3 linked regions of the Danio rerio genome follow. The protein of the gene in region 1 interacts with the protein of each later gene in a pairwise test. Links are inferred from orthologs where the notes say so. Each region holds a gene or a part of one and is shown in the gene's direction. Other genes may lie near its edges. The genes, in order: kctd17, dmc1 and lnx1.

Evidence for each region.
Region 2: the proteins of kctd17 (region 1) and dmc1 interact in binary tests that used the Homo sapiens proteins (3 or more experiments, as listed by UniProt). The two-hybrid records come from large-scale screens. The link is inferred for Danio rerio from reciprocal best matches to the Homo sapiens genes KCTD17 and DMC1.
Region 3: the proteins of kctd17 (region 1) and lnx1 interact in a two-hybrid assay, tested with the Homo sapiens proteins (2 studies listed by BioGRID and IntAct). The link is inferred for Danio rerio from reciprocal best matches to the Homo sapiens genes KCTD17 and LNX1.

Annotation. Positions count from the first base shown.
Region 1 is NC_133187.1:20,698,940-20,710,036, forward strand, and holds part of kctd17 (BTB/POZ domain-containing protein KCTD5), read left to right. Parts: intron 1-3,001; coding exon 3,002-3,093; intron 3,094-3,349; coding exon 3,350-3,496; intron 3,497-5,761; coding exon 5,762-5,887; intron 5,888-6,111; coding exon 6,112-6,222; 3' UTR 6,223-6,246; intron 6,247-8,879; coding exon of another isoform or gene 8,880-8,909; exon of another isoform or gene 8,910-10,919; 3' UTR 10,920-11,097. UniProt on the Homo sapiens protein: Substrate-adapter for CUL3-RING ubiquitin ligase complexes which mediates the ubiquitination and subsequent proteasomal degradation of TCHP, a protein involved in ciliogenesis down-regulation.
Region 2 is NC_133187.1:21,019,573-21,031,384, forward strand, and holds dmc1 (meiotic recombination protein DMC1/LIM15 homolog), read left to right. Parts: upstream 1-2,659; 5' UTR 2,660-2,859; intron 2,860-2,968; 5' UTR 2,969-3,076; intron 3,077-3,315; 5' UTR 3,316-3,316; coding exon 3,317-3,373; intron 3,374-4,082; coding exon 4,083-4,127; intron 4,128-4,203; coding exon 4,204-4,350; intron 4,351-4,458; coding exon 4,459-4,541; intron 4,542-4,858; coding exon 4,859-4,911; intron 4,912-5,026; coding exon 5,027-5,068; intron 5,069-5,159; coding exon 5,160-5,232; intron 5,233-5,340; coding exon 5,341-5,432; intron 5,433-5,569; coding exon 5,570-5,643; intron 5,644-7,251; coding exon 7,252-7,366; intron 7,367-7,510; coding exon 7,511-7,571; intron 7,572-7,639; coding exon 7,640-7,756; intron 7,757-8,267; coding exon 8,268-8,337; 3' UTR 8,338-8,583; downstream 8,584-11,812. Other genes in the region: gspt1 (eukaryotic peptide chain release factor GTP-binding subunit ERF3A), read left to right, coding at 8,942-9,107, 11,118-11,159. UniProt on the Homo sapiens protein: Participates in meiotic recombination, specifically in homologous strand assimilation, which is required for the resolution of meiotic double-strand breaks.
Region 3 is NC_133195.1:25,255,459-25,266,555, forward strand, and holds part of lnx1 (E3 ubiquitin-protein ligase LNX), read left to right. Parts: intron 1-4,178; coding exon 4,179-4,426; coding exon of another isoform or gene 4,427-4,432; intron 4,433-7,855; coding exon 7,856-8,011; coding exon of another isoform or gene 8,012-8,017; intron 8,018-11,097.

The DNA of each region.
Region 1 (11,097 bases):
CTCATTTTCATTAGAATATGCACAGCACCTAAACCAGGGATAAGTGTGATTTTTTTGATTAGATTATTATGACATGAAGATGGATAAAGACTAGTGTGAAGCGTTGTAAAGTCTTAAATATCAAAATCAGAATTTTAGGCAAATTAACATTTATTTAAAAGTTCTCCATGTATTTACTGCTAAGTGAGCTGACCTGGACAGACTGTTGTGCATGCATTTAATTTATTATAGTTTTTAAAACCTTCAAAACATTTTTTCAATTTTGGTTTTTATATTTTAAGAATGGTAATGTTGAAATAAAGTGTCTGTATACAACTAGAGCTTGCTTGTTTTGACACAATATTTAATTTTTTTTGCTCAGAATGAACTAAAATATTAATTGTTTTAATTATTAAATTATTATTATTATTGTATTATTAATTTGTATTATTAATTAATGTTAATAAATTAACATTCGAAAAAACCCTTAACGTTTAGGGCCATTTGAGTCTGAAATTTTATTCATAATGGTCTTAAAATGTCTTAAAGTTGTAAATTTAACTTCTAGAAACCCTGGAAGCAAATCTTTTCATAGTTCACAAAAAAGAAAAAAAAAACTTAACTTCGGTGCGGCCGACTCTAGTATTGGAAACCTAGTAAGCAACAGTAAACAAGATAAGTAGAGCTGCACAATTATTCAGTAAAAGATTGCTATGTTCATTTGACCTGATCAGGATCTGAATTTCTATGATTCTACACCATTTACTATATGTTGCTATGCAACATGGACAGACTGCGAATGGTGTTGAGAGTCAGCTTACTGTATTGATTAGGTGTAATTCACCTAAAACCTAAAATGTAAATTTTGTCTTTGTGTGCCATGTTGCATAATGACATATTCGCGGCTACAAAAATCACACACAAGGTGACGCACTTGGATTTTGTTTGAGGATGCACCAGCTGCGAATAACGGGTAATACAGCTGTAAATAACATATAGTTTGTTGCAAAGATTAATCGATTCACTTCTTAAGACCTCAGTCAGGAGCTGCGTGGGTAGAATGTTTTGCATGTATATATATTTTTTTGCAGTCGAAGTCAGAATTATTATCCCCCTTTGATTTTTACAATTTGTTTTAAAAATACTTCCCAAATGATGTTTAACAGAGCAAGGAAAATTTTACAGTATGTCTGATAATATTTTTTCTCTGGAGAAAGTCTTATTTGTTTTCAGTTTGGCTAGAATAAAAGCAGTTTTTAATTAAAAGAAAAAAAAACACTTTTAAGGTCGAATTTATTAGCCCCGTTAAGCTTTTTTTTCCGATAGTCTACAGAACAAACCATCATTATACAATAACTTGCCTAATTAACCTAACCTGCCAAGTTAACCTAATTAACTTAGCCTTTAAATGACACTTTAAACTGTACAGAAGTCTCTTGAAAAATATCTAGTCAAATATTATTTACTGTCATCATGGCAAAGATAAAATAATTCAGTTTTTAGAAATGAGTTATTAAAACTATTATGTTTAGAAATGTGATGAAAAAATCTTCTTTACGTTAAACCAAAATTGGGGAAAAAATAAACAGGAAATGTAATAATTCAAGGGGGCTAATAGTTCTGACTTCAACTGGATATGTGTGTATGTATGTATGTATGTATGTATGTATAAACAGTTGAAGTTAGAATTATTAACCGCGGTTTATTTTTTTCCCCAACAAATCTGACTCCGTTACACCAATTCTGTCAGGAGGAATGGGCCAAAATTCCTTCAAACTATTGTAAGAAGCTTGTGGAAGGATAATCAAAAATGTCTCAATATTGACCTTTATTTTAGCATATGATATCAATATCTTACCAAATTTTTTATGACGTTTGTTTAAATTTGATCGAAGCATCTTGTTTGAAAACCTAATGCAACAAAATAAATACTGGTAATGATCTTCATTTGATCAAAAATCGTTTAGCTCTAAATGTAAGGATGGTATAATGTTCACTATGTCAGAGTTTTTTGTGCAAATGTATTTATATTATTCCCATAAATCCTTTCACACGAATATAAATCCACCTAAAGCGAATTAAGGAATTCTTAAATTGAACTCGTGTTGTACAAATGTGCATTAACACATTATGTGTTTCATGTTTTAAAAGCTTGATTTTAGGCTCACAAAACACTGTTGTCATGTAAATAAATGTAAAATGCAGAGTTCACACTGCACAATTTAAGCTCTGGTTTTCACTCGCCAACAGATTTTGAGAAATCGCAGAAAAATGCCCAAAATCGTTTGAAAGTCTGTGCTCATTTACTTAAATGATAATCACACATTCTGAACAATTAAAGAGCTGGTTTAAGAGAACAGCTGTTGGCCGTGAGATACATGCTAAATATCTGTCACAAATTTAAAATCAGGTTTATGAAATGAATGCTGACTGGAAAAAGGCCGCAGCAAAGACCTTCAGCAAATGAAGAGCAAGATACAGGGCAGCAGGGATCTCTAGACCACAATCTCAGAAGAAGTAAGCGTTACAATAACATTAAACAGAAACAAATCAGAAATATTCATCCATATTTTTGCCATTTTGCTGCAAATCAGCGCACAGACCATTTGAATGGCAAACGTTATGCAGGCTACTATTTCAGTCTCACGCCTGATCTTGAGTTATTTCCTTATCACTTTTTATGTGTTTGCGAGCCAGACAAAGCTGTCAGTGATTATTTAAATGGTATAGTCATGCAGTGTGTATCGGCCTGTCACTGATCCATCACGCAGTGTGAACACTGCAACAATATTGTGAGAACAACGGTGAACTTTGAAAGGTGTAAACTCTGCATAAGACACACATTTAATTTGAGCTGAAAATGATGTGCATAAACATACCTTTCAATTTCTTAGTAGCATTTACAATAATTCATTTCTTGCATTGTCTTCAGTTTGCAACATTATTTAGTTGGAAAAACGCATAGTAATAAAAATCTGTAATAAAATCGACATTTTTTTAAAGAGTGTGTCTGTGCCTTCAGGTGTGCTGGAGGAGGCAGAATTCTACAACATCACACCGCTGATTAAATTAATCAAAGAGAGGATTCTTGAACGCGACTCAAAGGCCACGCAGGTATGAGCAAACCTTTATCGAGCCTCCAATACAGTGCATTTGCTTCCTTCTATCTGTTATTTTTCTCCAAGTACTATATTTCAGTTAATCTCTTATTCTACTGTACATTTGTGACTATATTTGTGTGCTTATGCAACAGCCACCAGTCCTCCGCCCACTCTCGCTCTTTTATTTTATTTTTTTTCATACTCTCCTATTGGCATCATCCCACTGCATTTCTTGCTCGCACTGTTTTCACCCTGTGTTTCTCATACAGCAGGTACCGCCGAAGCATGTGTATCGGGTGTTGCAGTGTCAGGAAGAGGAACTGACCCAGATGGTGTCCACCATGTCGGACGGCTGGAAGTTTGAGCAGGTCAGCGTGCGCGCCTGCCGAAAACCCCGCCCCGGACTGCTCTGGACTGTGGGTTGGACTGACACGGAGTTGATATCCCTTCCCCTGATCCTAATGCTCCCAGTGTCCAATTCTCCCCTCAGATTCAGAGTCCAGTAATGTAGCTAAAGTGTCAAATTAAACTTTTGGATTTTTTATTCAAAGGGATTTTACAAGGTCAGTTGCACCAATTTTTGTTAATAATATTATGTTTTTTTAATGGCAGACTATGGCTAGACTACTACTCAGTAGGTACTGCATTTAAATTTGAATTTACTGCTCGACCGTTAGAAAGGGCTTTCTATACAGTATGAATGTGAGCAGTATGAATGGAACTCAGACATACTACATCTACCATTTGATCATGATAGCATAACCTACCCGCATTAGTTGTGTCGATTCACTCCCATTTATGAATTCTCTCGCTCTGCATCATGGATGCACGCAGCATGCATTGGATGCACAGTTTAGAATTTCGCCAGAAGTAGTAGGTCATCCGGGTACTTCTCGCATACTGTTTTTGAATTAAATATATATATATGGCATATCTGATCAGACTTTTATTATTAGTTTACGTCTCGCAAGTTTTATTCTTCCTAATTTCCCGCAGCATGGTCTTTTTCCCCTCACAAATCCAAGTTATACTGTATCTCTCCATTTGAAGAACGTGATTGCAACAAAGTTCCAATTCTGAGAATGTCTTGCAAATATTTGTACTGCTTTTATTGGCTTTCTCATTCTGACTTGGTATCTTCTAGTTATGAGTTTCTACCGTGAGAAAAACATAGTTTTTTTAAGGGATTATTTAGCTTGCAATAATTTTGTTCTTTCTTATCAAAAAAGCTCAAAAGATATTTTGAAGGACCTAAACAACATTGGTGCAAAAAAGCAAAATAATGTAATATGAAATAATCCATAATGTCTTATGGAATAACTGTTCATAACATTGAAAAACGGTAGAAAACATTATGCATAATTATAAAAAGAAACCATCATTTAAAGGTTTACCTAGGTCTACCTTTAAACACTTAAAGGTTCTGTGGTACTGAAGGTTTCAAAGTTGGGCCCAATCCCAATTCTACCCATTAGCTCTTATCTCTAGTTTTGCGTATTCACGTGAAGAAGTGGGAGTGTCCTAATTCTCTTTAGCTTGAAAGTGTAGGGCTAAGGAGAAGGGCTAGATAACCCAAGGGTAGATACACCAGCTACAATGGCAACATGGCTGCACATGCAAGTCAGGAGATGCACAAATTGGTATTTTTTGCAATTATTAAGAATTTTAACAACAAACAAGCATATGTTTTGATGCATTCATAATGACGTTCGTGTTTTACCGTCATGCTTTATAAAAATAAAACGACTTTTAAAACCACATAAATTTCATGTCTATAATCCATAATAATAACTCCTGTATAGAAATATGTATAGAATGTGTGTGTTTATTAATTAATAATATTAGACTAATTTAGGTCATTGACTGCTGGCATAACAAAGGATGATGTAACGTTACCGTTAGTAGCTAGGCAATTTTCATTACTGTTTATTGCAGTTAATGCACTTTTAAAAGACACTTTCACTTAACCAGATTGCTTGCGTTTCCGTTTATACAAGAAAACAACTTGTGTTTGTTGCAACAGGCATTGTCGGTGTCATGCAAGCTTACAAGCTGTGAAGGATTTTATACTTCTCGCACGAAAGTGAAAATGAGCATTTCACATGTGAGATTGCTAACTGTGCAGACGAATATCAAATATCGCAAATTAAAAAAGGTTGGTCAGTTAAATTATGTTGCTGTAAGTAATGTTTATTCAGCAATAATTCTCCAGTACCGATAGCAGGACCGTTAACGTCAGAACTTATTGATACTTCAGTCTTTTATAATGCAGCACCGATACCGTACTTTATAAAGTACTGAGATTCGGTACCCATCCCTCATGATGACGTGTGCAGGTGTTGTTTATATCTTCTAAACGAATTTTGTAACCGTTTTAGAGCACACTAGCTTATAGATGTCTTTAAAACACACAATACTAAAAAACTTTATTTCAATTTCATGGGACCTTTAAAAACACTGTTGGCTGATGTTTTTAGTTTGTCGAATCGACTTTGACTAGACCAATTTGGCGTATCTCTAAACATCACAAAAAGAATGTTTTTGGTGCAACTCATTAGGCATTTGATCCACGTTAATGTTTTCCTTCATGGTCCTCACCCCAATCCTCAGATCTTAATTACCTATCATAATAAAAGGCCTTCTCTTTCTCTTTCTTTCTCTCTGGTTTCTTGGATTTCAAGATGGTGAACATTGGCTCATCTTACAGCTACGGAACGGAGGACCAGGCTGAATTTCTCTGTGTGGTGTCAAAAGAGTTACACACCTCGGCTGGAGGTTTGGGGACCGAGCAGAGCCACAAAACTAAGGTTGGAGCTCCTACGCACACATGCACAGCCATAGCACTTCACATTCACTGTAACCACAGCTGCCAGTGCCACAAAAACATGCACACTTCCCATCTCATTCCACATCAGCAGCTTTAAGATCATTTCTACTACACAAATTCATGATTTGTTCAATTTTTTTTGCTATGCCATCATCTGTCGTGCTGGTTTCTGTTCATCCTGTTGTCCATTCATAAAACAACAAGACGTCGGACACACAAGAGGAGGATGGAGCGAGGGAGGAAGAGGAGGTGGAGGAGGAGGAGCGGGAAGAGGGAGAGAGAAATTCATCCCCCAATGAGTGGATTAGAGATTAGCAGAAACTTGAGTCAAAGGAATTGGTGAGGATATGCTGTCGTGTTGGTTGTGTTAGTGGTAGATCCACAAAACTCTACAAGTCAGAGAGTGTTGGTGAATTGCATCTCAGTGCACTACATTAGAGATAAACAAAGAAATGATTCTACATGCATATTCCATTGTTTGGCTAATAAAATGGTCTTCAGATTTATAAATATTCAAGAAGCACTTGTATGGATAGTTTCACTCGTCTTTTATGAGGACAATTTGCAATGAAATGCAATAACCTTCATCTCCTAGCAAAAACCAAGCATGATTTTCCTTTTTAAAGGGATACTTCACTTGTTCCAAACCTTTATGAGTTTCTTTCTTCTCTTGAACACTAAAGAAGATATCTTGCTGGAAACCCATAACCATTAACTTCCATGGTATTTGTTTTTCCTACTGTGGAAGTCAGTGGTTACTAGTTTTTAGCTTTCTTCGATATATTTTCTTTTGTGTTCAAGAGCAGAAAGAATTCAAAAAGGATGAGCGTGAGTAAATATTCATTTTTGGGTGAACTATCCCTTTATGTAGTTATTTTGAACAAAATGTGTGCAGACAAACTGTTGCTTGGTACTGAGCTGTGAATATCAATTTGAATAGATGTCATTTTAAAATGGGGTTTTTAGTAAAGGTCACAAGACCAGAAATGGTGACCGAATGACTCAACCGAATGACTGTTTAATATTTAGCACAGCGTCTGTTCCATAAATTGCCCATGAGTCACTGCCATTCCCACTCATATCCACATCTTCAGCAAAAACGATCTGTCATAATTACATGGAGCATACTAGGAGCGGAGGCTTATTTCACACTCTGTCATTATCAGAAATCATTAGAGATTTTGTGTTAATACTACCGTTCAAAAGTTTGGGGTCATAAGCTTTTTTTTAAAAATGTTTTTTAAATGCGTCACTCATCAGGTTTGCATTTGGCCCAATCCTAGTTCTACCCCTTTACCCCTTCCCCTTAATTCTTTTCCTCATTTTGTGCATTCACGTGAAGGGGTAGGAGTGTCCCAGTTCTTTTTAGTTTGACGGCGTAGGGCTAAGGGGAAGGGCTAGATAGCCCTTGAAACTGAGATTTTTCAGGACTACACTCGAAACCAAGGGGTATAAAAATTTCCCAGAATACACCATCTACAACAGCCATAAGTCAGGAGATGCACAAATTAATATTTTTTTGGCCATTAGTAAAACAGAAATAGAATTGGAATTAGGCCTTAATCAAAGCAGTAATATATTTTAAATAACTGTATGTAAGTATATTTTAATGTATTTAATTCTTGTCATGAATTGTGTTGAATTTTTTACATCATTAATCTGGTCATCAGTATCACATGATCTGAAATGAGTCCAATATGTCGATTATTTTTATTATTATTTTTATTTATATTAATGTTGAAAAAAAAAGTTGAGCTGCTTAATATTTTTAGGTTCTTAAAAGAAGTTTCAAAAGCACTGCGTATAATTGAAATGAGAAAATGACTTGATTTTGGTTTCAATTAAAATTGCATTTGCAAAAGTAATTTTATTTGCGTGGCAGGCATTTAAATGTAAAATAGTGAAGTAAAATGACTGATGTCAAAATATGGGTGAAATAATGCTCCATGTGCACCATGATCCTGAAAATCTGTATGAAATTATTTGATATTTGAAATTAATTGATTCAAGTTAATTAACCGAAATTTTGTTTTGGTAATCTTCAAAGTCTGACACTTTGCTGACATCTTTAGCGTAGTGGTCCTTCTCTGTTGATGTCAGTTTGACGGCTTCAGTCGCAATATTCTTAACCACATTCTTAAGCCTCTCGTACGGTTAGTTTGCAATGAGCGAATGATTCGCAAAAAGAAAAATTCTATTTCAGTGAGGGTTTATGCACACAGACTTTTAATTTTCAGTCAGCCAGCCCAAGCGCTTCCGGTGAACTGTCTTGCATTATAAAATTGTCACATTTAAGATCTGATTAATTTAAAAATCAGTGATCTTCACAATCTGTAAGATATACAATATAAAGTGGGTCTCAGACCCCACAAGAAGCTCTGCATTAAATTATATTTTCCCCTGCCATGTCTTTAAATATGTACATTTATTTTACCTCAGTATTTTCAATGGAGTTTCTTTTAACAGTTTTACGCTAGAACAACTAAAATGCTATCCAACTGGTCTATTTTAAAAAAGCCTATTTAAAAGTCTATTTAACTCGTTATATTTTAATTATATTACAACATCGATGCTGTAAAAGGAACCTTGTGAAACTGAAATCAGTAGCATTAAGCTCGCACCAGAAGTTTATTGCTGGCTGAAAACACTAGCTGTGCAGAGTCTATTGGAAGCGCATCAACATACTGGAATAAACACTTTAGCTATTTCCTGTTCACTCCGCCTTTAAAAAGAGTAATTTAATATGTCATCAAATTAGTATTATATTTTAAAAAAACACCTCTAAACTTTATCTCCACCTACATTATAATAGGTATCTTCTGTAAATCATGGTTAAAATTGATGGGGCTTAATATTTTTGCTAGGAAAAAAATGTAATAAATATAAAAATGTAATAAAAAAACTACTGACCTCAACCTTTTGGACAGAGCTGCATTGCTGTGACACTAATATGTTTTTCAACTCTTTTTCAGCTGTTCCAGATCCATGGGTCCCGGATGTAGAATACAAAGAACTTTATTTTTTTAGATAACCATTTTATCATGTGCTCATGATGCTGTTTTTATAGCCATACTTTTTTAGATTTGGTGACTTTAACAACGGGTATTAGCGGAAAACAAGACCTTCACAACCAGCAGCAAAAAAAGAAATTAAACAAATTCAACAAAAGGCACCTGAGGTATTAGGAAAAGACACAGTTACATAGAAAGTTAGCAACTTAGTACATGACCTTTACCAAAGAGTGCAACCTAGTTATTTATGGGATATTCAAGTTAAAATCATGCATTTAAACAACTTGGGATTGGTCAGAAATAGAATTTGTAATTTATAATATAAAGGCTGTGTGGATAGGAGACTGCATCTACTGTTTAGGTTTTGCACATTTACTGTGGTATACTCAGACCATGTCCTGTTAATCTAGCATCAGCTCTGGGTAAAGTGCCAGCAGCTCCAGGCTGGCAGACCACCAGCGGTCCACTTTACCCCATTTACAATCTGTGGCAGTTTATTTCGATAGTGGTTGGCGCCGGCTAGAAGGTCATGATTTCATTGGAGGTCGCTAGATTTAATAGGGCTCCTGAACATTTTGGTTGTGTTTGTATGCTGTTTGAAGATTTTGAATAGGTCCCGTTTACTTCTAATGAAGTTAGTTTATTTTCAGCTAACGTGCTTATACTGTCACATGTGTGGAAGAGATAGTTCATCCAAAAAATGAAGATTTAATCACCGTTTACTCTCACTCTAGTGGTTACAAATCTTTGATTTTTATATCTTTCTCTGTTGAACACAAAAGAAGATATTTAGAAAAATGTTGGAAACTGGATTCAATCCAAAGATGCGATTAGATTCATGTGCAAACCTGAAATTGCATAAAACATTTGCGAAAAAACTTTAAGAGAACAAAATCATCACTTCCTGATAACCGTTGCCAAATGTCAAAGAGACAAATGGAAATTTCTTTCTTAGGAAACCTTTCACCGTGAACCTTTTTCCTTATAAAGTTGAAGTCAGTATTATTAGCCCCCTATTTAGTTTTTTCCTCTAATTTCTGTTTAATGGAAAGAAGATTTTAGTTTAAATATAACAGTTATAATAACCTTTCTTTGCCATGATGGCAGTATATATAATACCGTACTATTTATTTTTCAAGATACTAGTATCAGCTTAAAGTGCAATTTAAAGGCTTAACTAGGTTAATTCTACAGGTTATGGTAAATTAGATAATTAAACTATCTTTGTATAAGGATGGTTTGTTCTGTTAACAATCGGACACATTTTTTGCTTAAAGGATGTAGCAATATTGACCTCAAAATGGCTTTTGGAGGATAAAAAAACTGCTTTTATTCTAGCCGAAATAAAACAAATAAGACTTTCTCTAGAAGAAAAAAATATTATTAGACATACTGTAAAATATTCCTTACTCTGTTAAACATAATTTGGGAAATATTTAAAATAGAATTTTTATTATTATTTTTAATTAATAATTCTTACTTCAACTGTATATAAAATTACTTGAGTCTCAGAAGATGAAGACAAACACAATGAATGTGCAATGGCTTTTAGAGCTGCAACCCGTCTATGGGATGCTCAAGATGCTTCTGGTAGGTAATAATAACAATGGCAGTCTTTGGGTAAGGCCTTTTAGAATGACCAAAACAACGTTTCTGATGTTTTACTGTGTTCAGTCTGCTGGTTTGTCTATTAATGCCACTGTTTTTTGTTATTACATGATTTATTTATTTTTTAATTTTTTTGCATACTGTAATATATCAGCAAACATGTTACCACTGTAGTTTAGGCATATTTGTTCTTATCAGATGAAATATATCTAATTCAGTTGTGTGCATAATTTGTATTCATGCTCATTGAAAAGCTACATTGGAAGTCATTGGCTACTGGTTTCCAACATTCTTCAAAATATCTTCTTTTGTGTTCAACAAAAAGAAATTCAAACATGTTTGAAAAGTGGGGGGTGAACTAATGTTTATTTTTGTGTGTACTATCCTTTTAAGGTTCAATTTCTTCTGAAGGAAGCTCCGTTCACACTACCAGTGACTTCGTAGCTGCTTTTCTTCCTGGGTGGCGATTGAAGTCTCTAGTGGGCATTCCCACCTTGAGGTTACTTTAGTTAATGTTTTTGAATGATATTCTCAGTCAGTTAATGAGTTTTTTCAGCTATATATAAACACT
Region 2 (11,812 bases), about 320 kb from region 1:
TTTACATGTATAACATGCATGTAAAGCTTCTGCAATGTTATTCCTCAGACAAAAGCCATACAGTGTGCAGAACCATTGTGAAATGTTTGAGAAAAAACTACATTCAGTAGTCAGTGATCCATTTTTCTCCACATTACAGGAATAAAAACCAGTCCTTCTCCATTGTTGTCTTTTCTCTGTAATTTACATTGCATAGTGACTAAACTGTATTATTTACACTGGTGAAACATGTCTCACTAAGTAATGTAAGATGAAACATTTCAAGGCAGACCCTCCATTATTGCTTTGATCCAAAAAGCAGATTTGACTTCAGTCTAACATAAAAATATTTGCAACTAAAATCGTATAAAAATTCAGAACGATTAGATTATTAACTAAAGACATATTTATTTTTGTTAATTGAAGTAAGCTAAAAAGATGCCAGAACGTAATAGAAAGCGTACTTTAACAACTGCAATTAAGAGGGCACCTATGGTGCAAAATCAACATTTGGATGCTGTTTGGGCATAACTCTGTGTAGGTATAGTGTGTTCACGTTCACATCAGAGTGATATAAATGCAACAAGATATTTTTTTTTCTGACTTTAAAATAGGAACGTGACATAGGAATGTGGTTTTACCAAACCACCGAATTGACTGACAGTAGCACATTAACATGTCTCCATAGTAGTGCTTATAAACATGTTCACAGAACAGGATTTGCAGAGAAACTGTGATTAAAAGATCTGTTTCAACTCTGTGATCAACTGCACCTCAAGAATGAGTTTAACAAGTTTAAAACATTTTCAAAACAGTGCATGTTTAAAATAAAGAACAGAAAGGAAAACGTAATTCATATCTACTAGATTCACAATAGCTGCACGATGACAGTACAACTATATATAAGGGTGCTTTAAACACAACAGGAGTTCTGGTTTGTGGATGTTAAATCTGATTTATCATGTACAGTAATGGCTAACTTACATTTGCTGCCCATGCAAAAACAGTTAAATGTGCATGTATGTGTGTGTACTGCAAACTGAATCAGAATTTGTGTGTGACTCATCAAATGACCAAATATCTCTGTTTCTGTGACTGACTGCTGATAACCTGATGTGATGCAGCAGGAGTTGCAGACATGCGGGAACGGTGCAAAAAGAACCTGCTGATATGTGCAATATGCAGTAGTAGCCTAAGTATTGCAAACTACAGTTAAAGTCAGAAATTCCCTAAATATTTCCCAAATGATGTTTAACAGAGCAAAGAAATTTTCACAGTAGGTCTGATAGCATTTCTTTCTTCTGTAAAAAGTCTTATTTGTTTTATTTTGGCTAGAATAAAAACAGTTTTAGGGTTTAGTAATTAAAACCATAAGGTCAAAAGTATTAGCCCCTTTAAGCTATATTTTTTTCTAGTCTACAGATCAAACCATCATTATAAAATAACTTTCCTAATTACCCTAACCTGTCTAGTTAACCTAATTAACCTAGTTAAGCCTTTAGAAGTGTCCTGAAAATATTTAGTCAAATAATATTTACTGCCATCATGGCAAAGATAAAATAAATCAGTTATTAGAAATGAATTATTAAAACTATTATGTTTAGAAATCTGCTGAAAGAATCTTCTCTATATTAAACAAATTGGGGGAAAAATAACCAGGGGGTCTTTTAATTCAGGGGGTTTAATAAATACTTCAACTGTACATATTTGTCTTAATATTTTGTTTAAAATTTATTTATGAAGTAAATAAATTTCAGTTCTTGTTGTTTGAGTTTCCCAAAACCTTTTTTGAGTCCTTTGCCACCAAATATATACATTTCGAATAAATATTTTTTTAAGACTCACAAATAAAAAAGCTTTTGTTGCATTCAAAATAGTTTATCCAGCTGACATTTTCTTAGTCATTTTTCTTAAAAAAAAATTTTACAGTATAACAATTAATTATAAATTATTCCAATCTTTATATAAAGCTGTGCGGCACTGCAAAGCACTGTGGGTTTGTAGTAGTGGATTGGTTTGTGCTGGAAGGAGACCTCAAGCTGCAGCAACCTGATTCATCCTGTGGAGATCCAGTGGGGAAGAAGGAAGTGGACAAAATTAAGGTGGAGGACAAGAAGGAAGAAAGAGGAGGACGAGATGGAGGATACAATAATTGAGAAGGAGTAGGTGGAAGATAAGATTAAGAAGGAGAAGAAGATTAAAAAGAAAATGAATGGAGGGAAAGGGAGAAGAAAAAAGGGGGAAGATAGAGAAGGCAATGATAGAAAAGGAGGAGGTGGATGACAAGATTAAGTAGGAGGAGAAGATTAAAGAGAAGAATGATTGAAGGAGAGGGTGAAGGAAAAAGATGAAGAGAAGATGGAGGAGAATGATGGAGAAGGAGGAAGTGGATGGCGATTAACGAGGAGAAGATTAAAGACAAGAATGATTGAAGGACAGAAAAGGAAAAAAGAAGAGACGATGGATAAGGAGGAGGTGGATGACAAGATTAAGGAGGAGGAGAAGTTTAAATAGAAAAAGGATTGAAGGAAAGGGAGAAGGAAAAAAGAGGAAGAGGAGATGGAGAAGGATGGAACACAATGAGAAAACAATAAAAATATATTTATTCAACAATGTACTTTATTGTGTCTGGTGTTGTGATTATTTCCTCTTTATGTATAATTTAAGTGCTAAAAAATACACACATGCTGCAAAGCTGAAGTATTCGTCATCATACCTTTATTTAATTTTCATGCTTATAGTTGTGTTTGTTTAATTATCACCTACCTTTGAAATAAAATCTTTCCTAAACAAGTTTCAAATTAAAATGTAACATTTTATCTGTAACAATAAACCTAAAAAATTAGTTTGTATGTTTTTGGTCAATTTTTGTCATTAAAGGTAAAACAGAGATATTTTAACAATTTAACAACAACAGTGTAAAAAGCAGTTTAAAACGACATTTATTTATTTATTTATTTATTTATTTATTATACATTTTTTTATGTAGCAAGCTTGCTTGGGCGCGGGACTGATGCGCGTGCACGCCGAGCCAAAGTGTCAACATACGATTGTGGCGCGAAATTTCTTTCAGCTTCTTCTCAGGAATAAACGACAGGTAAAATGTAATTTCTGTTCTAAAAAAAATTAAAAATAATTAATTAACAACGTTATGACAAGGAACAAGACACATTTTTTTATCACAGCGCTTCAACAAAACGTACATGTAAATTAGCCGGTTTAGCCGCAAGTTTTAAATGATTTATGGTAAACTTGTTACCAAATTACGTGGTTAATAGCATGCCAAATCACAGGTATTTTATTATAACTTAAACGTTCTTTTTGTCTCATTCAAAGTATGAAAGTTTTGGAGGAACAAACTTTGGAAGAGGAGTCGGGATACCAAGATGATGAGGTGATTTACATTCATTTTCAGGCAGCCACAGCCCATTCAATCGTGCAAAAACATGCTTTTTTATTTAACCGTGTTAGGTCTTGTGTTTATAAAAAATATAACATCATAATGGTGCATAAAGCAAAACACTCATGTCAAAACCATAAAATACAACTGTACAGTAAAGTGGTGTACAGTTCTAACACAGCCTAAACATTAAATGGAATAGTCGTTATTAATACATATTAGAGGTATCTCTTTTTTTACTTCATAATTCAGAAAAAGACTGTAACCAGTAACAACAATAAAGTATTGTAGAATAAAATACTGTTTATAATCAGGCTAATTATGAGCACATCGATCTGTTAAAACCTTCAGATTAAAGATATGAATAAAACTAAAGTTGGTTAAAATGAATGCTGCTAAAGTGGAGATTTATGGCACAGTACAGAAGAGGAAAACTCATTTTGATTGACAATATTGAAATTGAAATCCACTGCCCAATGAAAAAAAAATGTGTGATAAAAGAAACACTCACATTGTATTTTGGCTGTTATCTTTACATAAGACTGATAAACACTTTATGAAAACCCCAAATTCTCAAAACTGACAAGCACATGATTTTTTAACCTACAGTTTCTCAACTTAAATCTGAAAATCCCCACTTGTTTTTTATTTATTTGTTGTTTCTATGTAATGTGATGAACATTTGCTATCAAATCTCTTCCAGGAATCCTTTTTTCAAGACATTGAGCTCTTGCAGAAGCATGGCATTGTAAGTAAAATGTTGTTATTATGAAGTTATGAAATGATCATGAAAGTGGTTCTCACCCATAATGATCTTTCTGAAGAACGTGGCCGACATAAAGAAACTGAAGTCTGTAGGGATTTGTACGGTGAAAGGCATCCAGATGACCACACGCCGTGCTCTCTGTAACATAAAGGGACTTTCTGAAGCTAAAGTGGACAAAATTAAAGAAGCCGCTGGAAAGTTGCTGGTAATTTGATGTGTTGGTTGACATGATTTATATATTTTTTGCTGTATTTTGTAACTACTCATCGATCAAGGAGGTTGTAAATGTAATATGTTCTGTTCATTCATGCAGACATGCGGATTCCAGACAGCATCTGAATACTGCATCAAGAGAAAGCAAGTGTTTCACATCACAACTGGCAGTTTGGAGTTTGAGTAAGAAGCTTTATAGGTCTTACATTTTTAGACACCAAATTTTATTTGTGGCTAGAATTTGTTTTTGTGTGGTGAACTGAACAATTTAAGTATAATCTACAAAACTGGCAAGGTAAATAAACTGAAATATGTAAGTTTTGGAGGACTCATTTACTCCAATAAACTGAGGCAAAGAGTTTACTTTATTCATTTAGTTCAGTCAACTTATTAAGGTTTTCAGTGTACAAGCAGTAACATGTTGTTTTATATATGTTTTCCGATGAAAGTCTTACATTGTTGACATGAAAGGAGAAACGGTTTATTCATATTTACTTTAGCAAACTCCTTGGAGGAGGTGTGGAGAGTATGGCCATCACCGAGGCTTTTGGTGGTAGGGTGATGTTTTGATTTGAAACCATAATGATATGTTAGGCATTTTCCGTACATCACTTCTGCCAAAATGATATGTTTTTGTCTTTGTGAATTGTTTCCCATGCCTCATTTAGAATTCAGAACTGGAAAGACTCAGCTCTCACATACTCTGTGTGGTAAGAATGAATCTTGTGTAAATGTTAAATGCGGAATTTAATTCTCATTTTTAGACCATTCACATCATTTTGTTTTCTTTTTTCCCTTCAGTTACTGCTCAGCTTCCTGGGGAATTTGGGTACACAGGAGGAAAGGTCATCTTCATTGATACCGAAAACACCTTGTATCATTTGTGCATTTGCTTGCTGTGTGTGAGTGATTCATTTTACTAAATCCATTTCATATGGAGAAGTCATTCTGAACTTTTTACCTTAATAATTGTGAACATCAGTCGGCCTGAGAGGCTGAAGGACATCGCTGACAGATTCAATGTGGATCATGAAGCTGTTCTGGACAATGTGCTTTATGCACGTGCGTATACCAGTAAGAATAGCTGCTACTTCTTTGTTTAGTTTTTGTGTGTCATTTTACTTGAGAATCTATTTGGCTAGACAAAGAGGAGCCACAAAATGTGTGTTGTGTGTTTTGTTACAAATCTGTCTCTATTTTTAATTTTTGAGGTGAGCATCAGATGGAACTGCTAGATTTTGTTGCAGCCAAGTTTCATGAAGAAGGTGGTGTCTTCAAGCTTTTGGTGAGTCTGGTAAGAGATGGAAGAATGTGTAAATCTTCTGAGGTAACTTTTTAGGTAGAGCTTTTACTTAAAGTTTATTAAACATTTATTATAGTTAAGTGTAAAAAAGCTAAAAGAGCTGTTTTTGGATTAATGAAACTGATTGTATTTTTAAAATTGTTAGTTGGTACACATAAATTGCTCACCTGGAATATAGATTCCTGAAAATTCCATTTAACACACAAATTATTGAGAAGTTTCATGAATGGCAGCTATTGTTCGTTTGTAAAAAAATAATTCAAGCTGGTCAATTATTACAGTTTTACCTCTTGCAAAACTTAAACAAATTTGTCACAAATAGTAGTTTATAGCATTTATGGTAATGAGAATTTACTTTTCTATGTAAGCTGTTGACCAGTCACAGCAGAGTGCACTTTCTGGCAAATCAGAGCAGATAACACAGTGTTTAGAGACTGAATCCTTTAATAAATTGTTGTGGACTGTGAGAAAAAAGGTGATGCTGCATGTATAATTGAAGGTGAAATTATTAAATTATTAGTCCTGTAAAATACATACACACATACACACACACACACACACACACTCACCGGCCACTTAAAACCTTACTAGTACCAGGTTGGACCCCCTTTTGCCCTCAGAATTGCCTTGATCTTTTGTGGTATAGATTCAACATGATACTGGAAATATTCCTCAGACTATATACAAATAAATACTCAGACCAGCCCATCTGGCACTAACATCCATGCTACATTCAGTCACTAAAAGTACCCTTCTTCCCCATTCTGATGCTCTGTTTGAACTGCAGCAGATCGTCTTGACCATGCCTACATGCTTAAATGCATTGAGTTGCTGACAGGTGATTGGCTGATTAGAAATTTGCATTAATGAGCAGTTGGGAGGTGTACCTAATATATATATATTATAATATGGGGCGACGCGGTGGAGCAGTGGGTAGTGCTGTCGCCTCACAGCAAGAAAGTTGCTGGTTTGAGCCTCAGCTGAGTCAGTTGGCATTTCTGTGTAGAGTTTGCATGTTCTCCCCGTGTTTACGTGGGGTTTCTTCTGGGTGCTTTGGTTTCCCCCACAGTCCAAAGTCATGCACTATAGGTGAATTGGGTAAGCTAAGATTGGCCGTAGTGTATAAGTGTAAATGAGTGTGTGTGTTGGTGTTTCCCAGTAATAAGTTGCAGCTAGAAGGACATCTGCTGCGTAAAACATATGCTGGATAATCTGGCGGTTCATTCCGCTGTGGCGACTCCAGATTAATAAAGGGACTAAGCCGAAAAGAAAATGAATGAATGACTATATATATTATTTCGATTTTTTCCAATTGAGTACAGACGAAACCACCATGTGGTTTTAAATGGCACTTTAAGCAGAATACTAGCCTCTTGCAAAAAAACTAGTTAAATATTATGTACTGTCATCATCGCGAGGACAAAAAAGTTACTACAAACTAGTTATTAAAATGTATGTTTAAAAATGTTTGTAAAAATCTTTTCATTAAAGAACACTCAGGAAATATTTGAAAACATAAAATATAAATCTTAAAAATAATTTAATGCTGGCACTTCATTCTTGTGACCATCAACATTTAATTTCCCACAGATAATAGACTCAATAATGGCTCTGTTCCGGGTTGACTTCTCTGGAAGAGGAGAATTGGCAGAGAGACAGCAGAAGCTTGCACAAATGCTCTCTAGACTGCAGAAGATTTCTGAAGGTTTGTAGAAATCATCATATTTGAGAATAGCAGTACTAGTATAACATGATGGCAGTCAGTCTTCTCTCCGCTGAAGTAAGCTTAAATTCAGTTTTCTCACCACCACTTTATTAATAAAAATATAAACCTTTTTGTGGGATATAGAATACAATGTTGCCGTGTTTGTCACAAACCAGATGACTGCAGACCCAGGAGCTGGAATGACGTAAGTAGGGGGAACAAATAAGAAAAAAGAGATGTTGATGAATGTTAAATGAATTATTATGATCTTAGATTTCAAGCAGATCCTAAAAAGCCCATTGGAGGACACATACTGGCACACGCCTCTACCACACGCATCAGCCTGAGGAAAGGCCGTGCTGAACTGAGAATTGCCAAGATATTTGACAGGTAATTTAAGGATTTTCTCTACATTTTCTATACAGAGTTTATTGAACACATTTCGAATTACTATTGTGTATGAAATGTGATATATAAATAAACTGGCCTTACCTTAGGCTTAGAATAAGGTTTTATCATTTAGCATCAGTCAGTGCAATGTGTATAGAAGCCTGTTTCTTAGAAGCCTAATTAAAAAGGTGATTATTAAATGACCATTCTAACTGTTTACACAATTTGTAGAAAAAGATTGTCAATTGTGAGCTGAAAAAAGGTTTGAGAAAACAATTACATTTTGAATTTTACTTAACTAATGTTTTCAAACAGAAGTGAACCTTATTAAAAATTGGAACCTTATTCACTTACTATAATACATTGTACTATATTTCTGAATTAAAAAAACAGAATTCATAAGTGAAACATTTTCACATTTCTAGTTTAATTTATTTGTATATTTAGATTGATGTGGTTATCATTCACTTTGCATGTTTGCATTATAAAGAAATCCTTTGCTTTTCCACAGCCCACACATGCCAGAAAACGAAGCTACTTTTGCCATTACGGCTGGAGGAATAACAGACGCAAAAGACTAAAACTGCACAGAAAGAGTGTTATAAAATGTCGCCAGTTTGTTCTTGCTGGAATCTGTTCAGGTGAAAACTCAAATCCGCTGTACCTATTTATTTATTATTTAATTTATCATACACCTGTATCTCTGCATAAAATTAATACAATGCACATTTATGTTTTCACTTGGTCTAATTGTAATAGTTTGTGATATATTTATACAAGTCAAGTTATATTGTAAATACAATTACATTAAAATGGTTAAAATACAAGCTATTTCATATGTCTGTTATTATTATTATATGCAAAGCACTTGTAATTTCACCACATCAGCCTTAATTTGAAAAGCTGCTGATGTGGTTATCATCACATATGGTCGCTGCTTTCACAGTCCACGCTTCTGCACTGCGCGCATGCAAGATCCAGGAGCAGCTAAGCAGCTACACGTCCATGGTGTCGCATGAAGACAAGGCGCTCTATGCACCATTTCACAACACTTTCGAGTTCCCCAATCCCTCACCTTACCTGGAATAGATACTGAAAACATAGCAGATTTGGTTTTGGTCAAAACCGCCGTGTGGTTTATAGCGCAAGCCGCTAGAAACGTCAGCTATTCGAGGTGAAGCCACTATGGACTCGAGAGACACTGCCCCTGATTCCTGGGAACAGGAGGACGATGTTGAGGCCACGGCTGATACCGAACTTCAGTCCGCCTTCACCGGGCTCAACGTCAACGCTCCGGAGTTCGTCCCATCCTTTCTTTCACGGGGTCCACCGGAAAACGCCACGTCTGATGGTAAACTGACAGCGTTAATAAACCGATTGACAGCATCGATACGGTCTGACCATAAAAGGACTTTTAGCTGGAAATGTTTATAGCAGGCTAGCAGATAAGATGCCAGCGGTTAGTTAACAATGCATTTATCATAGTCTAGTTGAAGATATTACCTAAACATAAACAGGTGTTACCACTTTATAATATGTTGATTTAGGGCCCTTTCATTCACATTTATTTTCTGTCACGAACTAGCACCTGGCTAGCTGTGCATGGCAATTTTAGCCGCCGACTTTACACCAGAACATTTGTTTGTCCTCCACATTTAATTTTAATAGTAATATTTAATGTATGATAATATGACATACAAGAACACATTAAATGAACTGTCACTCCTGCTAAATGTTTACTCAGAATTGTCTGCTTATTAAAAGTCCTAAATAAGCAACCATTCTGAGAAATATTAATATAAATATGTATAAGTGAGATAAATGCAATTTTAGGTATCCTAGCTATTTTATTCTCCACAGGATCGGGTCGCTCCCTCATGGGTGTTGTGTGTATATGACTTCACATGAACAGCTGTAGTAAAGTTGGCCTACTATTAAAATGCTGCTGCTGATGATAATGTTGGGTTAAGCAAGGGCCCTTATTTCCTTATGTTATCCTTACTGCAGTTTCTGCACTTAAAGACACATGTTGTATTTTACTTTAGTTTTGATTTCTGGATGATAAAAACACAACATTATTTTAAATGTTTAAAACGTTCTGTCAAGCCAGATTTACTTTATTGTTTTTTAGTTTAGATGACAGCATTTGACTTTGCTTGTCTGACTCTGTTTTTTGTGAATGATTTTGAGAATATTCAATATTACTGTCAAATTTTGTTTTTATTCTCACCTGTACATTAGAATCTATACAACTTTTTCCACAATAGTGATTTAAACAACATAGTTAAGGTAAAATAAAGTTGTTGTTTTTTTTAAGTGGCAGATTTAAAACTGAGTGTTTTATTTTATTTTGTCCAGCCATAATCTCTGTCTAGGCTGTGAAATAACTGAAATCATTTGGCATAGTGGTATGGAGCTGTAATGCCTGGAACAACTAGCTGGATGTTTCCCTGAAAATAGAAATGTGTGAAATGCACACCTTAGAATGTTCTTCAGCCAATCAGGATCAAGCAAACAGCTGTCTTTTTTAAAGTTTGAAGTTATCACCCATTTAATTTTTATCACCCATTTAACATGACATTTACCTGTACTCAGATCAAGTCCAAAATGACAGTCAAATTACAGTACAAATTTACTTGAATATGAGACGAGTTGGAGTTCATTCATAATGAGTCTGGACTTTGGCACTTGGTAAATTCACACTTGGTTCATTTTAATAAGTATGAATCATCTGAATTCTTTGTGGTTTGACTAAAACATAAACTGAACATGGACCAAAGACATCTAAACAACCTAAAAAAGGATATGTCACAAGATGCAACCATACAGGATAGAATGTTCCTGCATTTTTGTTTTTTTTTCCACACCTTTGTCTCAATTCTGGTTATTGCAGTTCAGCACAAGCATCAGAAACAAGTCTCTTGAAGCATATTAAATCTAATTTGTGTGATTTTATCACGCACATAACATTTTATAAACCCTTCAGGAATTTTCAACTGATAAAAACACCATCACTCAACATTGCTTTAGTTGTTTAAAAACGTTCTGTCAAGCTAGTTTTAGTTTAGTATCTTTTAGTTTACTGTCTTTTCAGTTTAGTTTGATCATGAGAAGAACATTTTATTCCCTGCAAATAATTTTTGACCTGTGCTTGTCAGATTAAATGATTCATTTTTGGAATACTGTATTTGTTACAGTAGTTTATTTTCATCTGTACATTGGAATTTATTCAACTTCTTTAGTGAATAGTGATTTAAGCAATATAGCTGTCAGTGCACAACCTAAATGCAGTTTTACAATGGCAGATTTATAACTGAGTTTTAAAATGTAAAATAGTCATAATCTCTGTCTCTTTTCACAGGCACCGATGTAGTGGCCAGCATGGAGATCTCGGAGCCAGTGGGTATGTTCTAGTTTTGTTGGATCGCCTGGGTTTTGTGTTCTGATATAGTGTTGCACTGTCACTAATGCTGCTTCATCAGCCATACAGAGGGCAACTTGGGCTTGTTACATCAGCACACATGTGCTCATATTACAGGCCTTATTTATCTCTTTACTTACACCTCCAGCCACAGTCACTGGCCCAGAGAAGCACATGACAATATAGTGCTTACTCATACAGCTCTGATTTTATTATCTAGTAGTAACTGTAATGACAAATACTACAAAAATCTAATTTCTCTCCACTGATTCTGATGTTGTGTCTCAAAGAGGCACTTTTTTAACTTTATATCTAAGAGTGTATTTATATAAAACACTTAATTGTAATAACAACTTCTGTTAACTTCTGTTGTAATAAATCTACATAAACAGAAATATCTCAATTTAATGGTCTATCTTACTATTATGATGATTATTATTTGCTTTATAATTAAAATTATGTTAATATAGCTATTTTAAAATAGTTTTAAGGCTCACTGGGGCCTTCTAATATTTATTTAGGCCCCATTGTGGCTTGGTAAAGATTCATTGACTTAAAGTTGACCCAAAACTGAAAATTCCTTCATTATTATTTGCTTAGCTTTGTGCTGCTTCACACCCACATGACTGACATTC
Region 3 (11,097 bases), on another chromosome or scaffold:
TACAACTACTGTTTTTATGTTACTTTGACGGTTGGGTTTAAAGTTGGGGTGGGGGTAGATGTTAATAAAATACAATAAATGGGAAATTTAATAAATAATATAAATAATTCTTGTTAACCATATCCGATCTAGCAACAACCCACCTGGTCACCAATGGTCGCTTATGTAGACGGAGGTCATCAGAAGTTGCTCACTATTTTGTTAAAATGAACACTCGCTTGTCGATTTGCCGCTGATAGTCACTCTTAAGGTCCGTGCACACAGAAACGTTTTTTGCTTGCGTTTTCCCTCAACGTTTAACGCCTCTTGACTAAATAAAGGGCGTCAATGTGATTGTGCACACCAACGCAAAAAACGTCATTTTTTTCTGTTGACACATCATGTCAAAACCTTCTCCACCAATCAGGTTGGCACTTTTGTTCATGTGCACGGAACTGCTAAAGTTACAGTAAATAGCACTTGGTGGCGCTCAAGCGCAAAACGGTCAATGTGAGCGTATATTGAAGAAGATGCCCAGAGGCGATATGAACGTGGAGCTGCTTATTGAACTGGTGAACAATAATCATTAATGCATTGGTAGAGCTGGAGCTGCTGCTTGAACCATTCATAACCACAAGCGTGTCAACTTTGTCTTCTTCTTCTGTGTTACAAGCGGGTGTCAGAAGCTTAAAGTTGTGTAGCGCCATCTAACGTCAAGAAGTGATTTTGCATACTCTCCTGCTTGACGCCAGTGAAAATTGCTTGGGGTTGAATCCGGATAAAACGCTGACGATAAACGCAAATGAAAAGCGATGTGTAAGAGCCTTTAGTGTGAATTAGGCTTGGCTTTAGTCACACACTGCACTCACATGTTGCACAAAATCACATTATTCACTTATTTATCCTAAGCCACTTACAAATAAAATCTATTTATAAATATTTTTCTTAAATACACAAATGTATTAGAATTTTATAAAATTATTTTTGACTACTACTACTGAAAGTAAAAATGCATTATTACTGTCCAGTAAAATTAGTTTTTTTCTGTCAATATTAATTTGGTTTAAAACTCTTTTTTTTTTCTTTTTTTTTTTGTAAAGCACAATTCTGCAACTTCATTCAGCTTTTTCCACATTATGGAAATCATATGGCATAGCATAGGATGGAATTCAAAGACATGCAAAAAATAACATCCAGATAAATAGCATCCATATTCGGAATGACATGAAGGTAAATGCCAGCAATGAAAAACTAGTAATTATTATACAATATGAACTGTCTCTTTAAGAATGCCAAATTTGCATGACAGCAAAAAAAAAGGGTTCATTGGAAGTGAAAGTTGGAGGTCAAGGACCAGGGAAACAAATGAATGAAGGAAAAATACAGTAATAACATGGTGGGAGAGTGCATGAGAGTTGTTAATCTCTCTCTGTGCTGCTCTGTGTCCTGCTGCCCGTCCATATGGCTGTGTATGTATGTGTGAGAGAGTAAAAATGAAGGAGAAATTGGATGCAAGGTGACTGACACATGCCATCATTCATGTAACAGGACGGCTGGATTAAACAATAACCTCTGCGTTGCTGTTTTGTGACTGCTGCTGATGGTTTATATGCGGGTCTGCCAGGACAAAGACACAGCTTATGACTTCGGACCACAGATTGCTGCTTTATCTGTAGCAGGAAAGCCTGGTTTAATTATCTGCCTAAGCCCATTAACAGAGCAACAGACAGGACCATTGTGTAGCATCTTTCTCTTTGTCTTACAGTCGTTCTCTTTTTCTCTATACGTATTATATTCCAAATGCATTATAAAATAATATAATCTTGTTCTAAACTTGTATGCAGTTAATTAACCTTTTCTGTACAAAACAAATGCAGATTGTTTTTTGAAAATTGGCAAATTATTGAATAAATAAATTAATCAATGAAGACAGACAGACACTACACAACTTGCATCTCTTCTTCAAAACTATGAATGATGTATAAGCATCTCAGGCTGACAGAAAAGAGATGAGGTGGAGAAAACCTAAAGTGAACTAAGACTGTTCCCACCTCAGTTGACCACTGGCTACTAGTCTCCAATGAGTCTGTCTTATATAACAGAAGGAGATGATGTTTCCTTCTCAGCTAATCACTCAAATTACTTCTGAGGGCCACAGAGGAGAAAAGAGCACTTCACATTTACTGTACAGTTCACACCAGGTAGAGCATGGTACGTCCATCCATCCATCCATCCATCCATCCATCCATCCATCCATCCATCCATCCATATATCTATCTATCTATCTATCTATCTATCTATCTATCTATCTATCTATCTATCTATCTATCTATCTATCTATCTATCTATCTATCTATCTATCTATCTATCTATCTATCTATATATGTCTGTCTATCTATCTGTCTATCAGTTTCTATCAATCCATACATCCATCCATATCTGTCTGGCTGTGTTCGTCCATCTGTTTTTTAAATTTTCTAATGTCAGTCTATCTGCATCGTCTGTCAATTTTAGTCTTCGATTGTATATGAGAGTGGTAGTTGTCATCACAGAAAACTCCTAAGCTGTAATTTTGTCCCGACACACTGCCAATCGACCAGCGAGGGGTAATTGCCTTTCTTTAGGCTGCCAACAGGATTTGAAGTCTTTCATCAGCACCTTAACAGAAGCCGAGTGAAAGCAGCCGTTGTTCTTTTAGGGCGGTTATTAGGTTTGCACACCTGAGGCACTCCAATCAGTGGTCAGAAGTAAGTGAGATATACAGCCAGTGTCAGACCCTCGGCCACACGTCTCCTTTCTCTCGCTCTTTTTTTCTCTTATGGCAGCTATGAGGGTGAAGACAGGCATGAATACTGAGACAAAATGCTTTATTTTAAAGATGGTCCCCAAGGCATGGCATCTCTCCCAGTGCCGTATGCATTTTTTTGCCTGTATATGTCCGTCCATTGATTTATCTCCTCACAGCCGGCCCTCAGAGAGGCCTGTGCTCCAGTGGCCGCCATAATAGTTCCATCATTCACTTTACAAATGTTTGAGGTGAATTTATTGTTTTCTTTTTTATTGATATTACCTATCTATCTACCTATCTATCTATCTATCTATCTATCTATCTATCTATCTATCTATCTATCTATCTATCTATCTATCTATCTATCTATCTATATATCTATATATCTATCTATCTATCTATCTATCTATCTATCTATCCATCCGTCCATCCATCCGTCATTCTATCCGTCCATCCATCCATCCATCCATCCATCTATCTATCTATCTATCTATCTATCTATCTATCTATCTATCTATCTATCTATCTATCTATCTATCTATCTATCTATCTATCTATCTATCTAGCTATCTATCTATCTATCTATCTATTTATCTGTCTGTCTGTCCGTCCATCCGTCCGTCCGTCCACCCATCCATCCATCCATCATCCATCCATCCATCCATCCATCCATCCATCCATCCATTCATCCATCCATCCATCCATCTTCCTTCAACACCAGCCATCTAGCACCGCTCACACTAAAAGCTCACTGGTCCAAAATAAAACAATAAGCATTTTTGACCGGATCACATCACACAACAGATTCTGATTGTCTATTCACTATTTTTCCAGACAAATTGCCTGTCACTAGTTAGGAAAGAGTAAAGTTCAGGGATGCAGAGTGGATCAAACCTATGACCTTGTATATGAGAGTTAGCCTAGTTGCATTTACTGGCTAGTCAATGCAAACATAGTGACATTTAAAGAATGCTTTCAAGTAGAAATGTATGCCGCAAATGTATTTCTGGATGCGCTCCACTATATAATCCGCACTAACATCTGCATGTGAGTGTTTATGAGTACAGTAATGTTATGAAGAGATAGCTTTAGTGCATGATTTGTTTTGTAAGGCAAGAAATCTCATTTCAAAGGTGAGGCCTTTGATATTCTACTCTTAGTGTTTGTTTGCTTCCTGTGGCGAACGTATTTGTTCTCTGGTCTCCTCTATGATGGCACAACATAATATATCAGCTACACATTGCACAAAATTCAGTTCAAGTCCAAATACACACCCTAGCGACGATGTGATTACTAAGTCTCCTCTACGTGACTTTGCTTTCCTAATTGGCACATGGATGATGACATTTTCATTGTATGGTAATGTATCTTGCTGACCCAGTTGTCATTGTGTGTGTGTGTGTTCTCACAGGTGTAAAGGAGCGTCACACTATGGACTCTCTGCAGAGAGAAAGCGTCGCTCTCAGGAGGGCGACTGCACAGACAGCACCTCAGAGCTCACTCTGGCAGCACTGCCCGGCGAGGGTTGCCCCTCCTCAGCCATCGCCCTCCTATCAGATGAGCCTGGCCTGGTTAACCCCGCCTATGAGCCCAGTGTGGAGGATAACAGCCAATCCGGGAGCACCACCAGCCTGGCAGCACGCAGCGGTTCCCGGAAGAGTGAGTGTGAGTGCACACAGTGTATTTGTGTGTATTTGTTTATATCTTAAAAGTGTTGTGTGTATATGTGTTTGTGTGTGTGTGCATGCAAAAGGTTTTATGTATCCTACACTATAAAGAATGCAGAGTTCCACACAATGCATTTATGTTGTCCCAACACAAATCGATTAAGTTAGATTAACACATTTAAGTGGACTGAATATAAAATAATTAAGCTGTCCCCAAAAAATCTCAAGAATTGTGTTGTTTTAGCTCATTTTAAATAAGTTGTTTGACCAAGCAGCAAACACATTGTTTTTAATGTATATGGGTAATTCTTTAACTACGGGCACTTTTATGTCCTTTGATCATATATCCAAAAATATATAGAATTTTGTCAAACTTATAATAAAACTTAATTTAAAAAAATTTACTAGCTATATTTTTTTCATATTATTCAACCTCTTTTTAGGTGTCAAAATCACTGTTTTCGCCTTGTCGCACACTCAGAGTATTATACTTTAACAATATTAATAACATTTTAAAATATTATGTAGCTGGTAACTTTTAATGTATCTTAATTAAGTACTTGTAAAATAGGTTAAATATTTTATAGTTTTTAACGTAAGACTATAATCAATAAAATTTTATACTTAACATAGCTGTCGCACAGTTTCAGTGTCATTTCCAACTTGTAATGTCGCTTAAAAAGGTTTGTGTGAAAGATTGTTTAGGTGGTTTCTATGAAAATGATTAGTGACATCAAAACACATGTTCAAGATTGAGGGAATTTTTATCAACAACACTTGAAGAAAAATCAAGATAAATATTGCTTGATAAGGAAATACATTAATTTAGTCATTCCCAAACATGCTGTACCTTCAAAGGTGTTTTTAAAAACCAAACAAAATTAAGGTAAATAAGAGTGTTTTGTATACATGAAACGCTAGTATCAATTCAAAGCTAATCGGTGAAGCTATCTTTAATTTTTTAACAATAAACTGTAGAATTGTCATTTCCTCCTCTGTCATTTCCATCCATCCATTCATATACACACACACACACACACACACACACACACACACACACACACACACACACACACACACACACACACACACACACACACACAAACACACACACACACACGCACACACACACACACACACACACACACACACACACACACACACACACATACACACACACACTAAATTCAACATTTTGCATTTAAAAATTTTTAAATATATAGTTGAAGTCAGAATTATTAGCCACCTTTAGATTTTTTTTTTCTTTTTTAAATATTTCCCAAATGATGTTTAACAGAGTAAGGAAATTTTCACAGTATGTCTGATATTTTTTATTTTGGAAAAAAGTCTGTATTTTGGCTAGAATGAAAGTAGTAAAAAAAACAAAAAACATTTTAAGGTCAATATTAGCCCCTTTAAGCTATATTTTCTCTTGATTGTCTGTAGAACAAACCATCATTATATAATAACTTGCCTAATTACCCTAATCTGCCTAGTTAACCTAATTAACCTAGTTAGGTCTTTAAATGTCACTTTAAGCTGTATAGAAGTGTCTTGAAAAATATTTAGTAAAATTTTACTTACTGTCATCATGGCAAAGATAAAATAAACTAATTATTAGAAATTAGTTATTAAAACTATTATGTTTAGAAATGTGTTGAAAAAAATCTTCTCTCCGTTAAACAGAAATTGGGGAAAAAATAAACAGGGGGACTAATAATTCAGGGGGGCTAATAATTCTGACTTCAACTGTATGTTTTTGAATTGCTTTTATTCTAAGATTTATTATTATTATTATTATCATTATTATTATTATTTAGTATAGCACCATTTTCTTTTGGAGATGTTCCATGCAATTGTCTTTTCCTTTCTCACAATTATTGAGAGAGCTACAGCATTCTGAGTAATGTCATTTATTCAAAGTTGCGCTCTGCACCACTAATGTCATTTGTAATGCAAAAATCAATTCAAACTGCACATCTATAAAGACTCTGCTGAGACACATAAATTATTTAGCATTTAAAGACAAAGATTAAGAAAGAGAAAAGTGTAAATGCCATGTGAACACTTTATGACCTCCACACATCGGTTTCAGTTTCTGACATTGCCTCAAAACGTGAAGCATGGAGAACGGGGACAATAAATGCTGCTGCCCCAGCAGTTCTGGCTTTAGGACTGAAAACAGTGTGACACTGCAGCTGAACAAGCTGTCTGCATCCACTCTGCCCAATGCCATTTTAAACCTTGTTCAACAGGACTGAATGACTGAAAGAGTTGAAAAATGCAACCATTGTTATTAAATTGAACATAAAGAACATTTGAACACCATTATATTTGTTTACCGAAACTTTCATATGTGATGTCATCACACAGACATGCAGAAACAGTATCCAGCACAGCTCTGTGCTGATTCAGGTCTGACCTGAGGTTCTTACTGCAGTGTCCACAGTTCATCATCAGCAGGTGCCGCCAACTTATCCAGAATATGTTTTACACAACGGATGCCATTCCAGCTCTCCCCATTTCTGGGAAACATCCATCCATACACACTCATTCACACACATACACTACAACCAGTTTAGTTCATTCAATTCATCTAAACCACATCGTCACCTTGGAATTATAAGATTCTATCTGCGTTCTAAATGATTTTGAGATATTGAGCTTCAAAGTTTTTGCATTCCATATAGCAAAGAGCAAGTGTGTAACATTTGTTTTTTAAATAAAAAGTCTTAAAATGTAAACAACTAGGCTAAATTGTCCATAGTGAGTGTGTGTGTGAATGTCTGTGTGTATGTTTCCCAGAGATGGGTTGCGGCTGGAAGAGCATCCACTGTGTAAAAACTTGCTGGATAAGTTGGCGGTTCATTCTGAAACAATTTTATCAAAAATGTCTCAAACTATTATACAACACCCATTCTTGTCAATTGACAATTTTGAAAAAAACTTTTAGATCCACTTCATATGTTGACTATACAGTTTTAAGTTGTGTCTGCTAATTTGATCTGTTTCTTGCAAATAAATTATATCAATAAACAAGCTCAAGCTTTCAAGTTTCAAGGTTTCAGGCCACAATAATTTTACGTGATCTACATTAGACACTATAAAACAATATACTGTTAGATGAGTTATACAATTGCACTGGTATTTATGGACAGACAATAAAAAGGTTTAGACCCTCACCTTGTCAGACTGTTGTCACTTGGTTTATTTAATCAGGCGATTATGTAAAATTGAGACTAGTAAACCATGCCAAAAGGATCTGTCTTAGGCCTTCTTCAGTTTTCAGAATATATGCTGCCTGACTGATTGTAACCAGAATGTACAAAGGACATGTCCAGACATGCTTGGGCAGAGAAGTTTCTCTCTCCTCCTCCTTTCTCAGTCACTTTCTTCATTTCACTCTCGCATTCATTCACAGATCGCAACTTCGACAGGACGTCGGTACGCAGCCGCTCATTTCGGCGCCTGAATAGAGCCTTCAGTGTCCTACGGAGGACCAAGAGTGGGACAGCAGTGGCCAATGACACCACAGAGGAGCGAGACAACCTCAGAAATGCCAACATACCAGCAGAGGGTGAGTGTGAGTGTCCAAATTTTCTATTTTCTCACCTGGTTAGGCTGAAAATATAGGTAATGAACAAACTGAATGCCAACTTGGGACCAGTTAGAATCAAAGAAATGTAGCCAGAAGACCAGTTAGACCAAATTAAACCAGATAATAACAAAGCTCTGTTTGATGCTATCTTTTGTATTATATTTAGTATTGGTGTTAGGGTCAACATGAAATGTAGCAAACCTGTTAGTAAATGAAGTATAAAGCCCCGTTCACACAATATAAATTTATAATGAAATCTTTATTTATATCCAGAATACAGTATAATTACATTGTTTCTTAACACCAAAACACATTTTTTGAGATGTTGACAGTCATATATATGTCCCACGCTGCTAAAAACACTATTAGGACACATTTACTTCACAAAAAAGTGAAAATTGGTTGTTTATGCATTTTTTGAGCAAATTCATTCTTCAAGTTTCGAAGCTACGTCAAGACCATGAGATCCTTGTGTAAATTCTCGCCTGGAGACTGGATGTCTGTACCAGCCAGTGCAACACCCACTCATACACTACAGACAATTTAGCCTAGTTGTTTAAATCTTTGAGTCAGCATTAATTAATGAGAAATACTTCCAAGTCTTTTTAGACCACCAATCAGCCCGCTCTATTGTGAATAAGGTGCAACTTCATTAATATGCATGATAAGCTTCGATGACTGTTTACCTGTTACAGTGTTCAGACTTGTGCTGCCAATCGTAAACCAAGTGGAAGAAGAAAATTGTTTGGAGACAAGGGTTGTCAGTGTTGTTTAAAAATGTGCCACAATAAAAGTTTTGATTACATTTTCCAACAATGAGAGTGAAGCTGCATGTGGACATGTGGATTACAGTGGTCTGCTAACAAGCGACAAAAAAACGTTTGTAAGGAACATTTTTTATTCAAGAGCTTTTCGGTTACACGGTTTCAGTTTGTGTTGATTGTCCTGTCTTTACGATTTTGGTAAGTAGGCAAGATTCTGACGGTATGATAACCTTAAAAAAGTATCATGGTCTCACAGTTTCACGGTATTACGATTACTGCTCTAAAATATGTTCTGTGTAATTGTCTAAACTTTTTTCTCTCTTGAACACAATATATTTTAGTTTGAGAAATATTTTTAAACAGTAAACATGTCAGACTAAACTTCTGTTTTGTTAAATCTTTTCAAAAATAGATTTTTTATAATTTAAAATGGCATATTTTGCTATCTTTTCTGTTGGAGATTCTGTTGTCCTTAAAAAAAAAAATAAAAAAACAGAAAAAAAAAAATCTTACACATACCTTAGGAATGGTATTGCTGAAAATTTTGACGGTTTTAAAACCTTTAAACTGCGGTATACCTTAAAACTGGCTATTGTCCCAATTGGTAAGTGTGTGATCTATGTTCGCTGTTTATGTTTATTCAGATGGCAAAGTTCTCTTTCAGTTTTTAAAGTTCTCTTTCAGTTTTTAAAGACATACCTTGTTCAAAATGATTTAGTTACTAAGTTTACAGTACGTTAATATCACTTCAATATTATGGACTGAAAGATCCGCTGTAAATGCTGCTTTCCTAATGTAAACATGTAAACACCTCAATCTAACTATTATCGTCATGTAGGATTTTCAGCGCATTTTGTGACAGGATAGTTTGTACACACATGTCACTTACCGGTTCCTTGCTTTGACCGAGAAATGCGTATGTTTATTTTTCTCCCATACAGCATGCAGTATTAAACATTCCAGTAAAACAACACTCTTCCAGCAGTTCCTCGCATCCAATATCTCGTTAGTCACGGGGGGCTTGCATGAAATGTTTCTGAATGAAAGTAAAAGTGCCAAACTGCGGTTAAAGTCGACAAATTAAGAATGAAACAACTGAAACTACATGAAACTCTGTGGTAAATGTGGATAGCGTAGTGACGTGATGATGTTAATCATATTATGTGCTATAACATGTAAAACGGGATCATGAAAGGAACAATCAAAAAGTAACTCATGTAAACACTTTTTTTCATATTATTGTTTTATTCAGATTAAGGCAAATAATTTGATGACTGATGTCCATGTTAATGTAGTCACTGTCTGTCTCCCCTATGTCTGTTTTGCCGCTGTCAAAATCAGAGCATGCATGTACTGAAATTCCCCTTTTCATGCAAACCCTTCCCTCTTTCGCCACTCGACACTCCCACCTAAACAAAGCTGGACACCCACTTTCCTCACTATTTTCAAACTATAGGTGTGAAAATACCTTGTTGAATTGGGGGGGGGGGGGGTTCAAGGCCCTTTCAAAGCACATGGTTAAGTTTTGTAATTTGTTGAATGCTCAGGTTTGTTGGTTGGGTTTTGCTCTGTTTTAAAATTGATTCCAAAGTTATTATTCTTCTGTGCCATTATCCTTATAGTTGTGGTGGATTTGCTAACAATATAGTTATTGTCCTTGATGCGAGGTATTAAAATCTCATTGTGTCATTAATATTCGCTTAAGAACCGGAAATGGCATATTCGAGGTCAGTCACAAAATCAGACATATTCTCAGCCTTGGGGAATGAATGTTCCCATCACTATCGTTGAGTAGCATGTTAAAACAATGTCAATGGATAATAAAGGAGAAAGGGAGTGTGTCAGAAGGTGACAGTCTGGTTTGGGTCCGCTCAGCACCGCAGTAGCATATGGTCCTTTAATAATGCAGATGGAGCCTGAGGAGCCTTGTCAGAGAGAGACAGAGAGGAAATAAAGCAAGCAGTGTGTCGGGACAGAGAGACTGGACAGATGAACGCTAAGTGTGAGGGTTGCTTTCTGAATGTAAACAAAAGAGGAAAAGAGACTGGAAATGAGTGAGGAAAATACTGATGAGCAAGTGTGTGCGCGCTTTCGTTATGTAACACCCTGGTTGCGGTAGTAATGAGCTTCACTTTCTCTTTCCCTGCAAGCAATCAGAAGTGATGAGAGGAAAATATTGACTTTGAAAGAGAGAAACTGCAGATTGTGGAGAACAGGGGGATATGTGTGTGTGTGTGTGTGTGATGGCAATGGAGAAAGAAGGGATGGATAAAGATAAGGAGAGACTCACTAGAGATTGTT